Linked DNA regions of Macaca mulatta. Each later gene encodes a partner of the first gene's protein in a complex. Links are inferred from orthologs where the notes say so. Each region holds a gene or a part of one and is shown in the gene's direction. Other genes may lie near its edges.

Evidence for each region. Proteins that work in one complex are often made in the same cells at the same time.
Region 2: the proteins of CDK2 (region 1) and CDKN3 are in contact, whole or in part, in a crystal structure (PDB 1FQ1), measured with the Homo sapiens proteins. The link is inferred for Macaca mulatta from reciprocal best matches to the Homo sapiens genes CDK2 and CDKN3. Residues at the interface, in NP_001789.2 of Homo sapiens: Tyr15, Glu42, Thr158, Tyr159, Thr160, His161, Val163, Val164, Leu166, Leu174, Gly176, Asp206, Ser207, Glu208, Ile209, Leu212, Asp235, Lys237, Phe240; in NP_005183.2 of Homo sapiens: Phe53, Lys54, Asp55, Arg57, Tyr87, Asp110, Gly111, Tyr141, Gly142, Gly143, Leu144, Gly145, Arg146, Ser147, Arg172, Ser177, Gly178, Ile180, Gln181, Thr182, Ile183, Lys184, Tyr186, Asn187, Glu191.

The regions. Positions count from the first base shown.
Region 1 is NC_133416.1:63,108,818-63,119,102, forward strand, and holds CDK2 (cyclin-dependent kinase 2), read left to right. Parts: upstream 1-3,429; coding exon 3,430-3,545; intron 3,546-4,287; coding exon 4,288-4,365; intron 4,366-4,475; coding exon 4,476-4,596; intron 4,597-5,198; coding exon 5,199-5,369; intron 5,370-5,902; coding exon 5,903-6,004; intron 6,005-6,997; coding exon 6,998-7,141; intron 7,142-7,443; coding exon 7,444-7,647; intron 7,648-7,920; coding exon 7,921-8,025; 3' UTR 8,026-8,316; downstream 8,317-10,285. Other genes in the region: melanocyte protein PMEL, read right to left, coding at 2,362-2,488, 3,099-3,431. UniProt on the Homo sapiens protein: Serine/threonine-protein kinase involved in the control of the cell cycle; essential for meiosis, but dispensable for mitosis. Phosphorylates CABLES1, CTNNB1, CDK2AP2, ERCC6, NBN, USP37, p53/TP53, NPM1, CDK7, RB1, BRCA2, MYC, NPAT, EZH2.
Region 2 is NC_133412.1:127,507,515-127,517,843, forward strand, and holds the start of CDKN3 (cyclin-dependent kinase inhibitor 3), read left to right. Parts: upstream 1-5,417; 5' UTR 5,418-5,469; coding exon 5,470-5,478; intron 5,479-8,258; coding exon 8,259-8,341; intron 8,342-9,812; coding exon 9,813-9,868; intron 9,869-10,329. UniProt on the Homo sapiens protein: May play a role in cell cycle regulation. Dual specificity CC phosphatase active toward substrates containing either phosphotyrosine or phosphoserine residues. Dephosphorylates CDK2 at 'Thr-160' in a cyclin-dependent manner.

The DNA.
Region 1 (10,285 bases):
TCCATATAAAATTTCATTAATATCTAGAAAAATGTCTTATGATTTTTAAAATCAGGATCCGAAATATAAGCACAATCTTTTTTTAAGAGCCTTGGGTGGGTGGGTGTGAACAGACTCTTTCCAGGATACATTAAGGAATGTAGTAAAAGAAAAAGACTTGAAACTGCAGCACAGTGAGGAAAGTCAGATCAAGAACTTCCTAGAAATCTGTGAGACTAAGCATCTAGGGAGAAAGCGGGGCTGGGATATAATGCATATATTTCAGCACAGCAGAAACTACTTTCACCCCATTTTCCCCTTTCCTGCAGAAACCTCTCTCCCCTCCCCTCCTATCTGTATATATTTCAGGACAGCAAAAACTACCCTCACCCCATTTTTCCCTTTCCTGCAGAAACTTCCTTCCCTTTCCCCTTTTCTTTCCCCTTTCCTTTTCCTTTTCCTTTCCTTTTGATACAGGGTTTTGCTCTCTCACCCTGAGTGCAGTGGCACATTCATCACTCACTCACTGCACCCTCAAACTCCTGGGCTGAAGCCATCTTCCTGATTAGCCTCCCAAGTAGCTAGGACCACAGGTGCTCACTACCAGGCCCAGATAATATATTTTTTTTTCTTTTTGAGACAGAGTTTCGCTCTTGTTGCCCAGGCTGGAAGGCTGGAGTGCAATGGCGCGATCTCGGTTTACTACAACCTCCACGTCCTGGGTTCAAGCGATTCTCCTGCCTCAGCCTCCTGAGTGGCTGGGATTACAGGCATGCGCCACCATGCCCAGCTAATTTTGTATTTTTAGTAGAGACTGGGTTTCTCTATGTTGATCGGGCTGGTCTCAAACTCCCGACTTCAGGTGATCCACCTGCCTTGGCCTTCCAAAGTGCTAGGATTACAGGCATGAGCCACCATGCCCGGCCTAGGCCTGGCTAATTTTTTTACTTTTTGTAGAGACAGGGTCTCACTATGTTGCTCAGGCTGGTCTTGAACTCCTGGGCTCAAGCAATCCTATGGCCACAGCCTCCCAAAGTGCTAGGATTACAGGTGTGAGCCTCCTCATTTCCTTTCTTTTTTATTTTTTTGAGACAGAGTCTTGCTCTTTTGCCCAGGCTGGAATGCAGTGGTGTGATCTCAGCTCACTTCAACCTCTGCCTCCCAGGTTCAAGTGATTCTCGTGCCTCAGCCTCCCAAGTAGCTGGGATTATAGGGGCGCACCACCATGCCCACCTAATTTTTGCATTTTTAGTAGAGATGGGGTTTCGCCATATTTGCCAGGCTGGTCTGACCTCAAGTGATCCAACCACCTCAGCCTCCCAAAGTGCTAGGATTACAGGCATGAGTTACTGTGCCAGGCCTCATCCCCTTTCTTTTCTTTTTTTTTTTTCGAGACGAAGACTCGCTGTGTCACCCAGGCTGGAGTACAGTAGTGTGATCTTGGCTCACTGCAACTTCCACCTTCTGGGTTCCAGTGATTCTCCTGCCACAGCCTCCCGAGTAGCTGGAACTACAGGCATGCGCCACCATGCCCAGCTGATTTTTGTACTTTTAGTAGAGACGGGGTTTCACCATATTGGCGAAGCTGGTCTCGAACTCCTGACCTCGTGATCCACCCACTTCGGCCTCCCAAAGTGCTGGGATTACAGGCGTGAGCCACCACGCCCGGCCTCATCCCCTTTGTAATGTGTGTTGTAACCCTAGTTGATTCTGCTGGGGGAGGATCTGGAATCATCTCATTGAGCATCCCACCACTAGAGCAAGATAAGTCATAAGATACCCCATTCATTCTCCACTTCCAACTCTCCTCAGAGCAGCACGGGACATTCCAGACCCTCTCACCACCTCACCCCCTCCCCTTGCTCCTGTCACGAGGCCCAATCCCCCAGAGCCCTTTCATGTGATGCTCAGCTGAGACCCCTCTGCCTATCTCTCCCAGCCCCAGAACAAAAGGTCTGGGCTGTGTTCACCCGTACCCATCCCAAGGGGAGAGGATTGTATCTCCTTAGTCTTCTTACCCAATACTACATTCTCTGACTCCCCACTTTAAATCTCCTACCCCAAGAGACATTTCTTAAAAGAGTCTCCCGCACATTTCACCCCTTTGGAGCCCCTGCTCCAGCTCACTGCCAAGGAAGCCTCAGAATCAGTGCCACAGAGACCTTCTATTCTTCTGCCCCTCCAAGCATATGAGATTATTTTCAGGCTCAATCCCAAATCTCCATGTAGGGAGGGAGCCCAGGTGCCCACATTCTCACTAAATCAAATGAGTGGGAGACGCCTGAAATATTGCCGCTATCTCCCATTAGGAGGAGAGAAACCAGAGCAGGGGGAATTCATCCCCAAGTTCACACCTGCTTATGTCCACATATCCACACATACCTTTTGTAGCCCCCACAGCCAGCAAAGCACCTATCACAGCCAAATGAAGAAGCCATCTTTTTAGCACCAGATCCATTGTGTTCTTCCCTCCAGCAACCAAAGGCACTGGGGGGACTGGGATAGGCCCCTATATAAGAAAAGGGTGCTCATTTGCATAGCCCTTCCTCTTCTCCCTCAGAGAAGGCCTGGGAGGGGCCAGAGAAGAGGAAGAAGGAAAAACTGACAAAGGGATCCTGGTCCCTAGACATTGCTTTCCCATCCTGCTACTCAATGGCAGTTTCTGGTTTCACTGGGTCACTCTCATATACTCCCGGGCAAGGGCTGACTGAAAGGCAGCTGCATAACACATACCAGACACAACAGTTCATCATGGGAGAGTGAATTAAACCAGGAACTTCTCAAAAAAACAGAAACAGAAGCCTGCATCCCAAAACACAGACAGCGTCGGGGTAGGCTATGAGGCAGAGGCAATGACTCCTCTGAGGCCCAGGAATTCTTTACAACGAGATTCCTAGTTTCCTGCTTTTCAAAGGAGGCTCCTGGGCCAGGTGGAATTTAACCTTAGGTCGATACATATTTTCCCCAGGAGTGGTGAAAATAGTGAGTTAGAAATCAAGAAATCCCTACAGACTAGAGACACAGGTAGGAAACTTGGACCCAAAGTAGGTACTTGGGAAGACTGTTCAGCCGCCCCACCGAGAAAGAAATTTGTCTAGCCCCCGAAGAACCAAACTTGCCTGGGGCGGGGTCATTTGCGGGGAGGAGCGCTGCACTCGCCCCCCGGCTCTGACGTTGACCAATAGAAATGCCTGGGGGCGGAGCCAGGGAAACGCGGGAAGCAGGGGCGGGGCTTCTGGTGGCGGTCGGGAACTCGGGGGGAGGCGGCAACATTGTTTCAAGTTGGCCAAATTGACAAGAGCGAGAGGTATACTGCGTTCCATCCCGACCCGGGGGCACGATACTGGGCCCTGTTTCCCCCTCCTCGGCCCCCGAGAGCCAGGGTCCGCCTTCTGCAGGGTTCCCAGGCCCCCACTCCAGGGCCGGGCTGACCCGACTCGCTGGCGCTTCATGGAGAACTTCCAAAAGGTGGAAAAGATCGGAGAGGGCACGTACGGAGTTGTGTACAAAGCCAGAAACAAGTTGACGGGAGAAGTGGTGGCGCTTAAGAAAATCCGCCTGGACACGTGAGTGGCCTCTGTACCCGGGACTCCTAACTGGGGACCTCCTTGACTGTCCCCCCCCAATCCCCCACGGGCGGGTAGCCGTCCAGGGACCGGAAGACAACAGGGACGGACTTCTTTAGAAGTGGAGAGGTGGGTTGGGGGCCAGTAGAAGGTGGAGTGTATACTTATACTCCCTGGGGAGAGTATAGGATGGTGTGGAATCCATGGAAAACTTTCTTCCCAAACTGAGCCGGATCGTGCCCCCAAATGTGCGAACACAGAGACTCGGGGAGAGAAAGGAGGCCTCTGAGATGAGGTCCAAGACTCTCCATGGAGTGGAGTTATGTGGGAACCGGCGAGGAGCGCCTTTCTGAATGAAGAGCTCTCCTCACTGCCCCACCCTCACCTTAGAATTCTCTCCTCTTTCCAAAGAATGGCAGTTGAACCTCACTGGCCCCTCTGGAGAGACTGGGGACTACTCCTGCTTTTTTTTTTTTTTTTTCCCCATTACAGCCTCCCTGCTTTACCTTCACCAGACGGCTTTACTTACCTACCCCTGGGAAAAGACAAGATAATGACCTTAATATGTGCAAAAGCCACACCCTGACTACCCAAGAATTAGCTCTTTCCAGCACCCTTTCTTTTCTCTGACTTTCCTAGGGGGTGCTGGGTGGTGTCTCCTTGGGGGAAAGAAATGACTAGGTGGGGGAAAAAGGAATATTTGTAACCATATTCCCGTCTCTGCTTTCCCAACCTCTCCAAGTGAGACTGAGGGTGTGCCCAGTACTGCCATCCGAGAGATCTCTCTGCTTAAGGAGCTTAACCATCCTAATATTGTCAAGTGAGTATGTGTCTGAGAGGCAATCCAGCTGGAAAGGAGGATGAGTTGTCTGTACAGTGTGGGCTTTTCTCTCTCTCGCACCTCCATTTCCTCAAACTTTACTTCTCTAGGCTGCTGGATGTCATTCACACAGAAAATAAACTCTACCTGGTTTTTGAATTTCTGCACCAAGATCTCAAGAAATTCATGGATGCCTCTGCTCTCACTGGCATTCCTCTTCCCCTCATCAAGGTAATGCTTCTCATCAGCTCCTCCCATCATGGGCATGTCTTGGGGTACTGGTGGCAGGCAATTCAGGGTGATATTTTATGATCTTGGCCTCCTTCTGAGCCCTCATCTCCTACACACACACACTCCCCTTCTTTTTGTGTCTCCTTCCCTGCTCATTATATTCATTAACCCTAGGGTTGGACTGAACAATCAAAGTTGAAACTCTAGTGAGTCAACCTAGCAACTCAGGTGGGAGGTCAGATGAAACTCAGATAAATGGGATTTGAGAGCACTTGGTAAATTCCTCCAAAAAGCCCTTCTGTTTGGTGGAAGAACCAGCTAGTAAGTCTCTATTGTCTATTTTAGGGCTGGATTCTTCACTCCCAGAGCTACTTTATTAACAAACATTTGTTCAATGCACAGCATGTAGAAAAGGGAAGCAAAATTGAGTAAGACTTGGTCCTTATCCTCTCTGGGCTGACAGTCCATTGGGAGAAATAGCTTGTAAATATGTAACTATAATCCAACATAGTAAAGGCTTTAGTAGAGTTTTGGGGTCACAGAGCAAACCCAGTCTGCTCACTGTGATGGAGAAACACAGTCCTCTCTTTCTTCTTTGTCAGAGCTATCTGTTCCAGCTGCTCCAGGGCCTAGCTTTCTGCCATTCTCATCGGGTCCTCCACCGAGACCTTAAGCCTCAGAATCTGCTTATTAACACAGAGGGGGCTATCAAGCTAGCAGACTTTGGACTAGCCAGAGCTTTTGGAGTCCCTGTTCGTACTTACACCCATGAGGTGAGTCCCTTTATGCCTTTCTTCTCTGAGCTTCCCAAGAGGTGTTAACTAGGGTATTCACAAATTTACTAAAAATATCTGGCTAACAGTTTCTTACTAGGTAGAAATAATCTCTTGACATCTTCAAGAGTCTTAGGGCATGCATGGAATTCATACTGTGTTGCTAACTGGGCTCACGCCTGTAATACCAGTACTTTGGGAGGCTGAAGTGGGAGGATCACTTGAGCCCAGGAGTTCGAGACCATCATGGGCAACATAGCGAGACCCCATCTCTACAAATCTACAAAAAGAAAAAATTTCGAAATCAAATTATGACCATTTGTCTCAAGTTTTTCCAGGAAGATCTCAAATTGGGGGTTCAGAAAATATGGTCTCCGGAACTATGGACTGGAAATCAGTGAGAGGGGAAAGAGGGAGGGAAGGAAACTGCTTGTTAAGAGGCCATGAGTTAGCAGAGTAGTGTTGGGGAACTGAGATGTGGGAATCTCCATACCCTATAAACCACTCCACCTCTCCCTATTCCTGTCCCTCAGGTGGTGACCCTGTGGTACCGAGCTCCTGAAATCCTCCTGGGCTGCAAATACTACTCCACAGCCGTGGACATCTGGAGCCTGGGCTGCATCTTTGCTGAGATGGTATGGAGGCTTGCCCAAGTTCACCCAGCCCCCTCCTCCCCACATTCAAGAACAACAGAACTGTTTCTTGGCCCAGACCTATGGCCCTTCTATCACAGGGGTCTGTCTCTAAAGTAGCACCAAGGGGAATGGTGGGAAAGGATGCAACTGTTGCCCCAATATCAACCACAATGTTAGGATATCCTCAAACAGCCTTAGTACCTAGTATACTTCTCTTATCCCTGAAATGACATAAAGCATTTCTGCAGCCATTTTAGCTGAGTCTGCATATATTTGGGAGAATGATTCCATTTAGTGCCTCTTTTATTTCAGGCCTTCATTTCAAGGCTTGTAGACCTTATTGTGTGGTGCCAGCAATGTAGTGAAGACAATTGTGGTCACTTTATCCACACCCTTCATTTAAATTGCAGATTTAGGCAGAGTGCAGTGGCTCACACCTATAGTCCCAGCACTGTGGGAAGCTGAGGTATAGGTGGATCACCTGAGGTCAGGAGTTCGAGACCAGCCTGGCCAAAATGGTGAAACCCCATCTGTACTAAAAATACAAAAATTAGCCAGGTGTGGTGGCACACACCTGTAATCCCAGCTACTTGGGAGGCCAAGGCAGGAGAATCGCTTGAACCCAGGAGATGGAGGTTGCAGTGAGCCAAGATCGCACCACTGCACTCCAGCCTGGGCGACAGAACGAGATTCCATCTCAAAAAAAAAAAAAAAAGATTTAGATCATGTCCCCCTTCAACCTCTGGCTTTTCAGATTGAAGGATCCTTGAGGCCTGGCTTTATGTAGAAGCTCCTATCTCCTTTAATACAACAGTGCAGTGCAGTAGGCTGAGGCTTCAAATCAGCAATATGTTTTATTGTCTTTTATCTGGGTTGTAACCAACAGCTTAAAGACCATTAGCCTGTACATATGTAATGTGCATTTATCCCCCAGTGCATTACCTTACAATTGTCCGTATTCCTCTCTCAATTCATCCAAAAATATTTGTTAAGCACCTAGTGGGTAGCCAGCACCATGCTAGGTACTGTGGGGAACACAGAAGAAATGGAAGACAGAGCCTCTGCCCGCTGTGCTCCTATCTAGAAGTGGCTGCATCACAAGGTTGGGGGATGACTGCAGTGTCTACCCCATACCCCGTGAGTGGCTTGGGATCCCTTTGCTACATGTCAGTGGCATCGCAGACATTCAGCCCCTCCCAGACCCACCCAGCCTTGGGGATCTGCAAAGCCATGGTTGGGGGAAGGAAGGAGGGGGCGAGGAGACAGATGAAGGGACTTCATTGTCTCAGGTTCTGTGTGACTGACCCCATGAAAGGCCCTGGGGAGGGAGTCATGGGGCCCTGCTGACCTTCTACTGTCTGTGGGAACTCCTTTGTATAGAGGAGAGTTTTGACTGACTTCAACATAGGTCTTGGTATTTTCTCTTTCCCCATTTTCAGGTGACTCGCCGGGCCCTATTCCCTGGAGATTCTGAGATTGACCAGCTCTTCCGGATCTTTCGGACTCTGGGGACCCCAGATGAGGTGGTGTGGCCAGGAGTTACTTCTATGCCTGATTACAAGCCAAGTTTCCCCAAGTGGGCCCGGCAAGATTTTAGTAAAGTTGTACCTCCCCTGGATGAAGATGGACGGAGCTTGTTATCGGTGAGAGTGGGCACCTGTTTTCCCTCATTCATTTCTCCCAGGGAAGGGCTTTTCCAGGATGAAGGAAGGATGAGACCCTGAAATCTGGGCCTCAGTATTTTGTTTCCCTGGTTCCTGCTCTCCCTGTTGGCACACTGGTTCAGCTATGGGAGGATGGAAGTAAGAATTCCGCCTTGGGTAGAAGGAGTTCTGGTTTCCTGATTTCTGGGAACATTTGCTGCCCATTTAGTCCACTATCACATGATTGAAGTCAACATACATCTCTCCCTCTAGCAAATGCTGCACTACGATCCTAACAAGCGGATTTCGGCCAAGGCAGCCCTGGCTCACCCTTTCTTCCAGGATGTGACCAAGCCAGTACCCCATCTTCGACTCTGATAGCCTTCTCGAAGCCCCCAGCCCTAATCTCACCCTCTGCTCCAGTGTGGGCTTGACCTGGCTTGGCCTTGGGCTATTTGGACTCAGGTGGGCCCTCTGATCTTGCCTTAAACACTCACCTTCTAGTCTTGGCCAGCCAACTCTGGGAATACAGGGGTGAAAGGGAGGAACCAGTGAAAATGAAAGGAAGTTTCAGTATTAGATGCACTTAAGTTAGCCTCCACCACCCTTTCTCCCTTCTCTTAGTTACTGCTGAAGAGGGTTGCTATTAAAAAAAAAAAAAAAAAAAAAGCCTTCCTACATGTTAGATTTGCCGTACCAATCTCTGAATGCCCCATAATTATTATTTCCAGTGTTTGAGATGACCAGGATCCCAAGCCTCCTGCTGCCGCAATGTTTGTAAAGGCCAAATGATAGCAGGGGGCTAAGTTGGAACTTTTGAAAACCAAGTCAAACAAAACCACTGGGAGGAGTCTATTTTAAAGAATTCGGTTGAAAAAATAGATCCAATCAGTTTATACCCTAGTTAGTGTTCTGCCTCACCTAATAGGCTGGGAGACTCAAGACTCAGCCTGGGTGGGGCTGCAGAAAAATGATTGGCCCCAGTCCCCTTGTTTGTCCCTTCTACAGGCATGAGGAATTTGGGAGGCCCTGGGACAGGGATTGTGCTTCATTCCAATCTATTGCTTCACCATGGCCTTATGAGGCAGGTGAGAGATGTTTGAATTTTTCTCTTCCTTTTAGTATTCTTAGTTCTTCAGTTGCCAGGGATCCCTGATCCCGTTTTCCTCTGAAGTCCACCTCCTACCCCATAGGAGTCGGAAATTAGGGTTTAGGCATCATTTTGAGAGTACTGACACTTTTTCAGGGCTGTGATTGAGTGAGGGCATGGGCAAAAATATTTCTTTAAAAGACGGATGAACAATTATATTTATATTTCAGGTTATATCCCATAGTAAGGTTGGCTTTTTTTTTTTTTTTTTTTTTTTTTTTGGTTAGAGTGGGTGGATTTGTTGCCATGTGCACCTTCGGGTTTTGTAATGACAGTGCTTAAAAAAAAAAAAAGCATTTTTTTTTGTTTATGATTTGTTTCTGTCACCCTTGTCCTTGAGTGCTCTTGCTATTAACGTTATTTGTAATTTAGTTTGTAGTTCATTAAAAAAATGTGCCTAGTTTTATAGTTCATCTCTTTCCTATTTACTGAAAGAATGGTGAGAAACAGAATATGAATATGTATATGTGATCATTGATTTCGGACCCCTTTTCCTAATCTCTCTGTGCATGGCCACCCACCCCACCCCATTTTGGCTAGTGCTGACAGTGAACAAAGTGGTTATTATCGTTCCTATTTATGGCTGGGGAAACTGAAGTCTATATACTTCCTACTTTCTCCACACACCAGCAAACTTCCTTTCCCCCAGCCAACATACCACACACACACAACACACCACATACACACCATATATGCACACACACACACCCCCATGCACATACATAGCGGCAGGAAAAGGGCTCCCGGGGAATTTGCCTCTCGACACTGCATTTCCCAGTAAGCCCGCCCTTTTTCCTTTCTGTTTCATATCACAAACAGCAAAGTTTTCCAAAGATTATTTTATTTACATTTACATACGATTCTGAAAAAGCGTCTCCAAGCTACCACTTCTTGTAGTTGCCATTGTCTCACTCCAACAAAAAACATCTCAGACCGCCCGCCGGCCACCCCAAATACTCCTGTCCCCTGAAGCCTCACTAAAGGGAGGAAGCGCTGATGTCAGGGTTACTTAAATTCCCAGGCTCCGGATCCCTAGAAGAGGTATTTCCCTTTACGCCCGCGAATTTGTCATAGAAGGCGGGGCACTAGAGCCAGCCCCGGCCAAGTCCAGGGGGAGGGGCGAAGGTCAATAGCGGCCTTCCTAAGGCTTCTGTCAACCCCTCGCCTGCCAGTCAAGTCCCGTATTTTCGTAGTACTGGTTAAAGTTTCACTTTGACCCGCCTCCTTCACTCACCTGATTAGATGTTTATGAGTCAAAAGGCGGGGTCATGGGGTGTCGAGATTTTATTGGTGGATACATACGCCTGTCGGCACTGTACCGCCCCCTGTCTTAAGGAGCTTGCTCTTTAATGGCTCCTTACCTCGTCCATCTTCGAGGTTTCTCCCTTGCTATTGGTTTGTGGCCCCGCCTGTCGAGTCCCTTGCTCATACTTGTTGGTGACAGCGCCCAAAGAGACCCGCCTTTCTCCAGAGGATTGGTGGATGAGT
Region 2 (10,329 bases), on another chromosome or scaffold:
GATACAGACCCAAGTTTTCCTAGGGATGCAGTATAGTGCTTAAGAGTATCAGCCTCTAGTGTCAACTTGCCTCAGTCAACTCCCAGCTCCACCCCTTACTGACTGGGCCAGTTAACCTTGGGCAAGTTGCTTTCATCTTTTTGAACCACCTCTTAGGAAAACTGAGTTAAAAGAAAAGATGCAGGCAAAGATCTTAAAACAGCACCTGGCCCATAATAAGCCCTTTAAAAAATGGCAACTGTTACTAATTATTGTTACTTAAAGACCACTTAGTTCTCAATAACCTCTAACCAACCACTGAGCTCCATTCTGTGTCCAGTGCAGATTGTTATTCCATCAGCTAGCCAAGAAGTATATATTTTCTTTTCGAATTTTACACACTCCTGCCTGTGGTTCAGAATAAGCTTTTCTTATAATGACCTTTTCTGACCACCCAAGGAGGTAGCAATTGTCTCTTGGTTCTTTGGGTCCCCCCTGAACATAGAGAATGAGGGGCATCTGTTGACCCAGATGCTGCAGGTATCAGTCCCAGTCCTCAGTTCCCAGAGGACCCCCCTCACCTCATTTATTCTTCCTTCTTTTCAGCCCTCCTGAACCTTCCACTCTCTTTTCAACTCAGCTGTTTACTTTGGTAGCATCACTCAGTCTCTTCTAGCTTTCTTCCCCCACTAGTATCTAACAGAACAGCTCTACACAGCACAGGCACACTAAGGCAATATCCTCTATTTAAAAAAAAAAAAATTTTAGAGGCAGAGTCTTGCTGTCACCCATGCTGGAATGCAGTGGCAAAATCATAACTAACTGTAACCTCAGACTCCTGGGCTCAAGTGATCCTCCCACCTCAGCCTCCCAAGTAGCTAGGACTACAGGTACCTGCCACCATACCCAGCTTTTTTTTTTTTTAATTTTTGTAGAGACAGGGTCTTGATATATTGCCCAGGCTGGTCTTGAACTCCTGGCCTCCAGCAATCCTCTTGTCTCTCCCTTGCAAAGTGCTGGGATTATAGGCATGAGCCACTGCACCTGGCCTAATTTCTTAAATTTGGAATACATAAGCAAAAAACAAAGAAGCATAAACATATATTAACAGTTTTGTACCAACCAAATAAAATGTACAGAGATAATCACATGCCTGGCAAAAGAGTACAAGCAATTAGGTGTTTATATAATTAACAACTCTATAAGAAATCAAAATAGCCAGGTACATGGATCACGCCTGTAATCCCAACACTTTGGGAGGCCAAGACAGGCGGATCATCTGGGATCATCTGGTATCGGGAGTTCAAGACCAGCCTGGCCAACATGGTGAAATCCCATCTCTACTAAAAATTACAAAAATTAGCCCAGCATCATGGCAGGTGCCTATAATCCCAGCTACTCGGGAGGCTGAGGCAGGAGAATCGCTTGAACCCAGGAAGCAGATGTTGCAGTGAGTCAAGATTGTGCCATTCACTCCAGCCTGGGTGACAAGGAGCAAAACTCTATCTCAAAAAAAAAAAAAAAAAATCAAAACAAAATTTAAAGTTTTTTTTTTGTGCTAACCCCAAATGTGTGAAAGACATAGATATTCATGGGATGTTGGGGGCTCCGTTCCAGAAAACTTAAAATAATATAAAATCCTTATCAGTACATCTTCATTTTTGGTCACAATTTTCATTAATGATATTTTGTACATGTTTGTCTTCTATTTATTTTCCTTAACAATTAATTTCACGTGTGGTTGACCCATGCGACGTTCATTAAACATTGAACTGAAACAAAGCTTTGCTGCTTTGAATGTGCTTAAGATTTCTATCTTAATTTTGATTCTAATATGTTTATACTTAGCTTCCTATCACGTGTTAAGACTTCTGTTTTTTTCAATTTCTCCTCATGTTTATTTAAAAAAGGATAAAATATAATAAAACAGTGAGTTAAAATTTTTTAAAATAACACTAAAGTTCTTTTTTTCCCTTTGCTGTACTTTTAGTATCTATAAATAACACATGTAGATTAGTCTTTCAAAATTTAATCCTCTACACACATAATTAAAAGATGAATTGATTGCATTTGCTGTCCCAGCAGTCACTTCTTGTGCTTTACCCACTTGTACCATCCATCCATGTTCCTCCCTTCCTTCTCTTGTCTCCATCCCAATCACAGCAGCATGTAGAGAAGTATATCCAGCTGTTTTTGTTTTGTTTTGTTTTGTTTTGTTTTTGAGATGCAGTCTCACTCTGTCACCCAGACTGGAGTGCAGTGGCATGATCTTGGCTCACTACAACCTCTGCCTTCCAGGTTCAAGCAATTCTCCTGTGTCAGCCTCCTGAGTAGCAGGGATTACAGGCACCCACTACCACGCCCAGCTAATTTTTTATTTTTAGTAGAAATGGGGTTTCACCATATTGGCCAGGATGGTCTCGAACTCCTGACCTTAGATGATCTGCCTGCCCTCGGCCTCCCAAAGCACTGGGATTACAGGCATAAGCCACCGCACCCAGCCCAGCTGTTCTTAAAATGCAAAAAGTGGCAGTTCCAGGTTTGAGGGATACAAAAGTTGAAACAGCAGAAACTCAGGGATCTGAGGCAGTGAATGACGAGGCCAGGAAGAAAGAGCACCATCATCACTCCGCAGAGGCTGGAGTCAGGGCTGGAGCTGAGAGAGAGAGAAGAAGCTGGCCAGAGACAGGCTGATAGGTGATAGGGCAGGGTGGGCATTCTCAACATCCAGCAGTCGGATAAACAGAGGAGAGTGGAAGGAAAAGTTTGGCTGATTATAAAATCTTGAGCTCAAGATATTGAGATCAGGATGGAAATAAGCCTGTGGTTAAAATGGTCCACCAGGAAATGACACAAAAGATGCCTATGGTTAAATGAGCGTATTCTACTGAATGTGAGGCTGGATGTTAGTTGTTTTTGTGGTCTTTCGCTATCGTTTTCAACTTTCCTGGGCCAGGCCCCCTTTTCCAAGGGTACAGCCTGGTTCCCATTCTAGAGTTCAATCTCCATTCAGGGGTACTTTGTTTTTAAGCATACTCAAATGCACACCTCTGAGTGTGCTTCACCATCCTACACACTCCACAGCCCACCGACTTTCTGGAACTGTTCAGCCCTCAGTGGCCTTGTAGCACATGCTTCCACCACTCCCTTTTCCTCCAACATACCAGCCCAGCCTTATGGATTCTTGCTTTTGAGAGGGGAGGGTCAAACATGAGGAATGAGAGCCCGAAACACCAACAGCCAACTGTATTTCACAGGTTCACCCAGGGCCAGCCTGGTTTACTTTCAAATATATGCAAATGTATTTTAAAACTGTGCCACTCCGCTTAAAGAGTCTACGGTCCTAGCCATAAAACAAAACATAGGTGCACCTTAAATACTGGTTGATTATTTGACCAAAGGCAGGACTCTGCGTCTAGGCATACATACCCACCTACATTCTCTTGTACACAGTACCATGGCCATTTCTAATATGAAATGTAAACTTACACATCAAAACAATAGCTATAAATATGTGGTGGGTGTGGTCTGTTCCTTAACCCTACTAAGGCCTATATTGTAAGAGAGCAGGTATTTCCTAAGTAGCCCTTGAGTTCTAATTGGGCCTTTGATTTGATTTTGTCTTCTAATTTGGCCTGACATACCAGCCAATGTGGTCACCATATTGAACAGCACAGATCTAAAAGGATTTCCTGAGTGTGGAAAAATCTCTGTGGGTCTCTAGGATAGTTAATTTTGTGCATCAACTTGGCTGGGCCATGGTGCCCAGTTATTTGGACAAACATTATTCTGGATGTTTCTGTGAAAGTGTTTTGGGATGAGATTTGCATTAAATTGGGAAATGTTGAGTAAAGCAGACTGCCCTCTATAATATGGATGGGCCTCATCCAATCAGTTGAAGGTCTGAAGAGAACAAAAGTCTGACCCTGCCCTGTGCAAGGGGTAATTTCGCCAGTAGACAGCCTTCAGACTTTACATGCAACATTGGCTCTTCTTTGTTCTACAACAGCTTTTGGACTCGAATTACAGCCTTTCCTGAGTCTCCAGGACACTGGCCTCCCCCCATCAGATTTTGGACTCACCAAGCTTCCACAAGCACAGAAGCCAATTCCTTAAAATAAATCTGTTTCTATAACCATACATACACATCCTATTCATTCTTTATCTCTGGGCAACCCTGACTAATAGTCTCTAAGTCAAACTATGATACCTTCTTTACTAAGGAATTCCTTCTAATAGTTCTATACCCATTGGTTTTCACAACATGAATCAGGGCTGAAATTTCTGCATATTTTTCTCAGATCTGCTCCAGACGAATTCCTTTCCCATGGCTAAAGGGGGACTGGAGAAGGGGGAGAAATACTCAAATACATTTTTAAAAGATTACAGCTAATTATGTAGAAACACTGGCCCTTAGACCTATCTTACCTGGCATTTTATAATCTCCCTTTCACACAATATAATTTAATTCATATTTGGGGGACAGGAAGATTGATCTACACTGTAACTTGACTAGTTTCTGGAATGATAAAGAAAATAAAACTTCAATCATATAAAATGTGTTTATACTCCAGATTTTTAGTTTTTTCCCTAGTATTTGCATGTCTAGATATAATTACAAACTCTATGTGATATGCTTTTCATGTGACAATCCAATACAGTGCTTTCCTGAGCCCTTAAAAAATAAAAAAATTACAACTTAAAGAAACAAAAACTGCCTACCGTAGCCGCTACAAGGGAGGCTAAGGCGGGAGGATTCCTTGAGGCCAGGAGTTCAAGGCCAGCCTGGGCAACATAGTAAGACCTCCGTCATAAACACAAAAACTCCCAACCCGAGTTCGAGACCAGCCTGACCAACATGGAGAAACCCCATCTCTACGAAAAATACAAAATTTAGCCAGGCTTGGTGGCACATGCATGCCTGTAATCCCAGCTACTCGGGAGGGTGAGCCAAGAGACTCGCTTGAACCCGGGAGGTGGAGGTTGCGGTGAGCCGAGATGGCGCCATTGCACTCCAACCTGGACTACAAAAGCGAACTCCACCACAAACAAACAAACAACAAAAAACACCTCTCAAACCTATGGACCACGCTGACTTCCAGCCATCAGAAAGCAAAGTTTTCCAGCGTCCCGCAAGTTCTAGGGCCGCCTTCTGACTCTTCCGCCCCGCCTCCGCCCTCTGCACTCTCCCAACTGGCGGGAGGAGGGCGCCCTCCCAGCCAATCAACGTCCCACAGGGCCCGCCTCCCGCGCGTCTTTCAAAGGTCTTCTAGGAACCAATCAGCGATTAGAGGCCGAGCCTTCGGACATCCGAAGGAGGAGTAAGAAGCTAGGAGCGGATCTGATTGGTTGCTGGAAGACGCCGCGCCCACCTCACAGGAGGACGAACCAGTGAGCTAAGCGGAGGGGGCGCGGGCTCGGCCCGGACACCGGTGAGTCGCCGGCGCTGCAGAGAGAGGCGGCACTGGTCTCGACTTGGGGCGGCCAGCGATGAAGCCGGTGAGTCGGACGTGCTGGGGCTTGGAGGAGCGAGGCGGCAGGGACGCAAGCGGTCCCGGGGACCCGATCCTGGGCCGGAGGGCAGCCGTAGCCTGGTAGCACTGCGACTTGCGCCATAACCGTCCTGTGGGTCGGGGAGGTGACTTTGCCACGCACGGGCACTAGAGACGAAGGAGCAGGGTCGGTGGCCGACGAAGGAAAGACGGACATTCGCTGTGCACCTGCTGTGGGCTGTCGCCTGTCCCCTGCGGGGTCTCATAAGCCTCCCAGCCAACGAAGGCCGAGCCTCGTTGTACCGAGGAAACCGAGTCGAGGAACTTGAGTGTCAGCGATGAGTGGGCGCGATACCCCAACCCCGAAGGGCGTCCGGCCGCTGCCCTGCGCCCACTGGGGAAACCATGAGTACGAATGCCACGCCGCGGCTTGTGGGCGACACCACCGCTGTCACCATGCCCCAGGGCCACTTGGCAATGCTGCCCTTTTCCCGTGACGTTCAGAATCACCGGGCCTGGGGAAGCAGAAACGTCCAGCTCTGTTAGGATGAATAAACCTGGTGAATGGGCCCCACAAATTTGAAATATGAATCATTAAAGCTGCTTTAAAGAAAAAGCAGATGCAGGCAAGACGCTGAAGATCCCCCACCTAACCCATATTTCCTACTGCCGGGGTTGACAACCTACTGGAAGCCTTTCCTTTGGGTGCAGTGTATTATAATACTTCAGATGGAGCCAAAGCAATAGAAATGCATAGCCTAGGGCTGGGTGGTGGCTCGCGCCTCTAATCCCAACACTTTGGGAGGCCAAGGCGGGCGGATCACTTGAGGCCAGGAGTTGGAGACCAGCCTGGCCAACACGGTGAAACCCATTCTCTACTAAAAATACAAAAATTAGCTGAGCGTGGTAGTGCACGCCTGTAGTCCCAGCTACTCAGGAGGCTGAGCCACGCGAATAGCTTGAACCCAAGAGGCAGAGGTTGCAGTGAGCTAATATCACGCCAGTGCCCTCCAGCCTGGGCAACAGAGCAAAACGCTGTCTCAAGAAAAAGAAAGAAAAAAATAAAATACATAGCCTAAATTGGCCGTCCTGTGATCTTCAGTACCAAGACCGTTGTAAAATACAGCTTCAGAGCTAGAAAGGGCATTAGGTGGTTACACTTGCTACGCCCTATGTTGCCATGTGGAGGGACATCAGCTGTCCTTCACTCCTGGCCTGTTTCTCCACCTGTCCCTATTGAGTTATCTGATCCCTGAGTTTGGAAGGAACCGAACACCAGTATCTCAACTTTTTCTTTCCTTCTCTCTTGGGAGCTACCTGCCTGCCTGCAGAAGGTGCTTTCTGGTCCACTCTCTGGCACACAGGAGCCCTAGACTGTCCATGGCCACCTGTGACTGGGTGGATACATTTGTCTAATTCTGGGTTGAACAAGGGGCAGGCGCATGTGGCAACAGCTTTAAGCTGCATACTCCATTTGATATACAATAATAAAGCTCCATTTCCTTATCTTTCAATTGGTTTCAACTAGGGAGTGAGAAAAGGGTATGGGTTTTGTTCTGTTCTATTTTGTTTTTCTTTTTCTTTTTCTTTTTCTTTTGATTCTTTAAAATTTCAGCAGGGAGTGTAGAAGTCTTCCATGTCAAAATGCTGCAGGATTAAGTTCCAGCTGCTTAGATCAGCATACAAAGTCTGTCTCAATCTCTCTAGTGATTCATAAAACTGGCAGGTTATTTCACCTACACCACCCCCACCAAACTACTAGGCGATGTGGGGATTGTTTTTTGAGAAAAGGGATGGGCAAAACTACTTCTTCATCTCCTCTACTCCATCTCTATTTTGATATCACAGTTCCTCAATACAAGGGCCTTGGCTTACCTTCTTTCCTTTCTTTTTTTGACAGAGTCATGCCCTGTTGCCCAGGCTAGAGTGCAGTGGTGTGTTCCTGGCTCACTGCAACCGCTGCCTCCTGGGTTCAAGCGATTCTCCTGCCTCAGCCTCCTGAGTAGCTGGGATTATAAGCATGTGCCACCACGCCCAGTTAATTTTTATATTTTTGGTAGAGCCAGGTTTTGCCATGTTAGCCAGGCTGGTCTCAAACTCCTGACCTCAGGTGATCCGCCCGCCTTCTCCTCCCAGAGTGCTGAGATTTACAGGCATGAGCCACCGCACGCTCCCTTTCCTATCTTCTTAAAAACCTGCTCTTCCTTCAAAACCCAGCTAAAGCATTTCCTCTGTGAATCCTTCTACAGCTCCCTACATGGTCAGTCACTCTCTTCTCTGCTCCACAATATATAGTTCTGCTTCCATTTCAGCACTTACATAATACCTTTCTTCTGTAATCTATGCACACATCTATCTCTCCAGCCATACTGAAGGCAGGCTATCTATCTTATAGATCTTTTGCATCTCCAGTGCTTGGCAAATGAAGGTGGTCAAGAAATATTTGTGAATGAATAAATCTCCTCACTTTATAGTTGAGGAAAACTGAGATCCAGAATCAACTGAAGTAGCTTGTCAGAGAGTATACAGTAAGTGGCAGAACCAAGATCAGAAGCCAGATGTCTTGGTTCCCAATCCAACTCTCTTTCCACTATGCAGTGCTGTAATTATTAATAGAAAGGTAAATAGCAGTCATTTATTACTAATATTGCTGATCTCGGTGATATTCTGGATTGATGACTGAATACATTGCAAATATGAATTCAGTGTGTGTTTAGACAAGGACTAGCTATCCTAAAACTACAGAAAAATTCTTTACAGTTATTTAACATAACATTTCTTTTGAAGCCTAGTTCAATACAAACAAGTGAGTTTGACTCATCAGACGAAGAGCCTATTGAAGATGAACAGACTCCAATTCAGATATCATGGTATGTTAGCATTTCTGATCAATGATGAGCTAAAGTCACAATCTACATCATAAATGTAAATTTAGTTACATCATAATCTTAGTAGAATGTAGTTCACATATTGAAAACATTAAGGGTTTATCCCCCTCTGATTATATAATTCTAATTGTTAATGGATCTTCTAACTCCATGATTCATTTACTGTCTATAATATAGAAAAAGACCCTTTTTTTTTTGGCCCTTCTTTATATGTTGAGAAAACCTTAGTAGAAGCAAGTAAGTAAGAAATAGAGGTAGGATTGAAATAATCTCCCATTTAGTACCAAAATCTACTTATTCTTTTATGACAAAAGAATAATATACCAAATATGAGATGAGATATTTAATCATTTCTCATTAAATCAAATCCTAGGTAATACTTAGAAGTAATGTCACAGTAATGCATCTATCAACAGACTGTTTAAGATAAAAGCCACATCAATGCAATAACAAAAAGTTTCTACATAAAATCAGCCGTTTAATCTTGGCAAGTGACTTATGGTTATACCAGATTCTCTACAATGAGCAATCAAATACTTTCTCTCATCACCGCAAATATAATAGTCTCTCTCCTTAAGAAAGCACCATCCCTACTGTCAGAAGAGAAAGACAGTCCTAAAGGTCTTTTGTCCTACCATCAAATAGCATTAAACCTTCCATTTTTACTTAAAACTCCCATTTAAACACAAAAATTCATCGAATTTTCAAAGTCAGGTGGTATTTAGATGATGCCTCCTGTTTTCCGTTAAATCATCTTCTGACATGCAGACAAGGTGAGCCTCTGTCCCTGAGTGCTGCAGACTGGGAATGTGATTTCTTGATGTTATTTCTTTTTAACCAAAAACCTGTGGTTTTCATCATATGAAATCATATCTGTTAAGGAAGTTCTACAAAAAAAAATTTTTTAATAGTAACGTAGAATAAATGCTGGGGAGAAAATTGTCAGTCATTTTCCAATTTATTTTCCTAAATCACTAATACAAATTATCTCAGGTAATATACCACAGGATAACATAAGTACACCATATACTACCTTTTGGCAATCTAGACATTATTATCTTTAAGGTAAATTTAAATTAACTTGGCTTTTTGTTTTATTGTTTTTGTAGAGACAGGATTTCACCATGTTGCCCAGGCTGGTCTCAAACTCCTAGGCTCAAACAGCCTGCCTGCCTTGGCCTCTCTAAGTGCTGGGATCATAGGCATGAGCCATTTGTCATTTTTAATGCTTAAATAATAACCAACAAATAAGTCCCTGTTTTAAAACTTTGTCTTTCTATTTTTTGTGTGTGACCAACATATTGATATTTAACTATGAATTCTTATTTTGTGACTACTGTAAAACTTTAACACACCCTTATTTGGTGCAAGCACCCATATTGATTAAACTGAATTTCCATTTATAACTTTTTTAAAAACTTAACTAAACGTGATAAATTTTTCTACTTTTCAGGCTATCTTTGTCACGAGTGAATTGTTCTCAGTTTCTCGGTTTATGTGCTCTTCCAGGTGGGTAACACAATAATGGGCTTCCTCTCTCTACATATGTATTTTTTAATTTATTTTTATTGCAGTAGCTTTTGGGGGAACAGGTGGTGTTTGGTTACATGAATAAGTTCTTTAGTGGCGATTTCTGAAATTTTGGTGCACCCATCACCAGAGCAGTGTATAGTGTACCCAATGCGTAGTCTTTTATCCTTCATCCCCCTCCCACCTGTTCCCCCCCAGCTCCCAAAGTCCAATGTATCATTCTTATGCCTTTGTGTCCTCAAAGTTTACCTCCCACTTATGAGCGAGAACATGTGATGTTTGGTTTTCCATTCCTGAGTTACTTCACTTAGAATAATAGTCTCCAGTGGCTGGGTGCAGTCACTCACACCCATAATCCCAGCACTTTGGGAGGCCAAGGTGCCAGATCATGAGGTCAGAAGATCAAGACCATCCTGGAAACCATGGTGAAATCCTGTCTT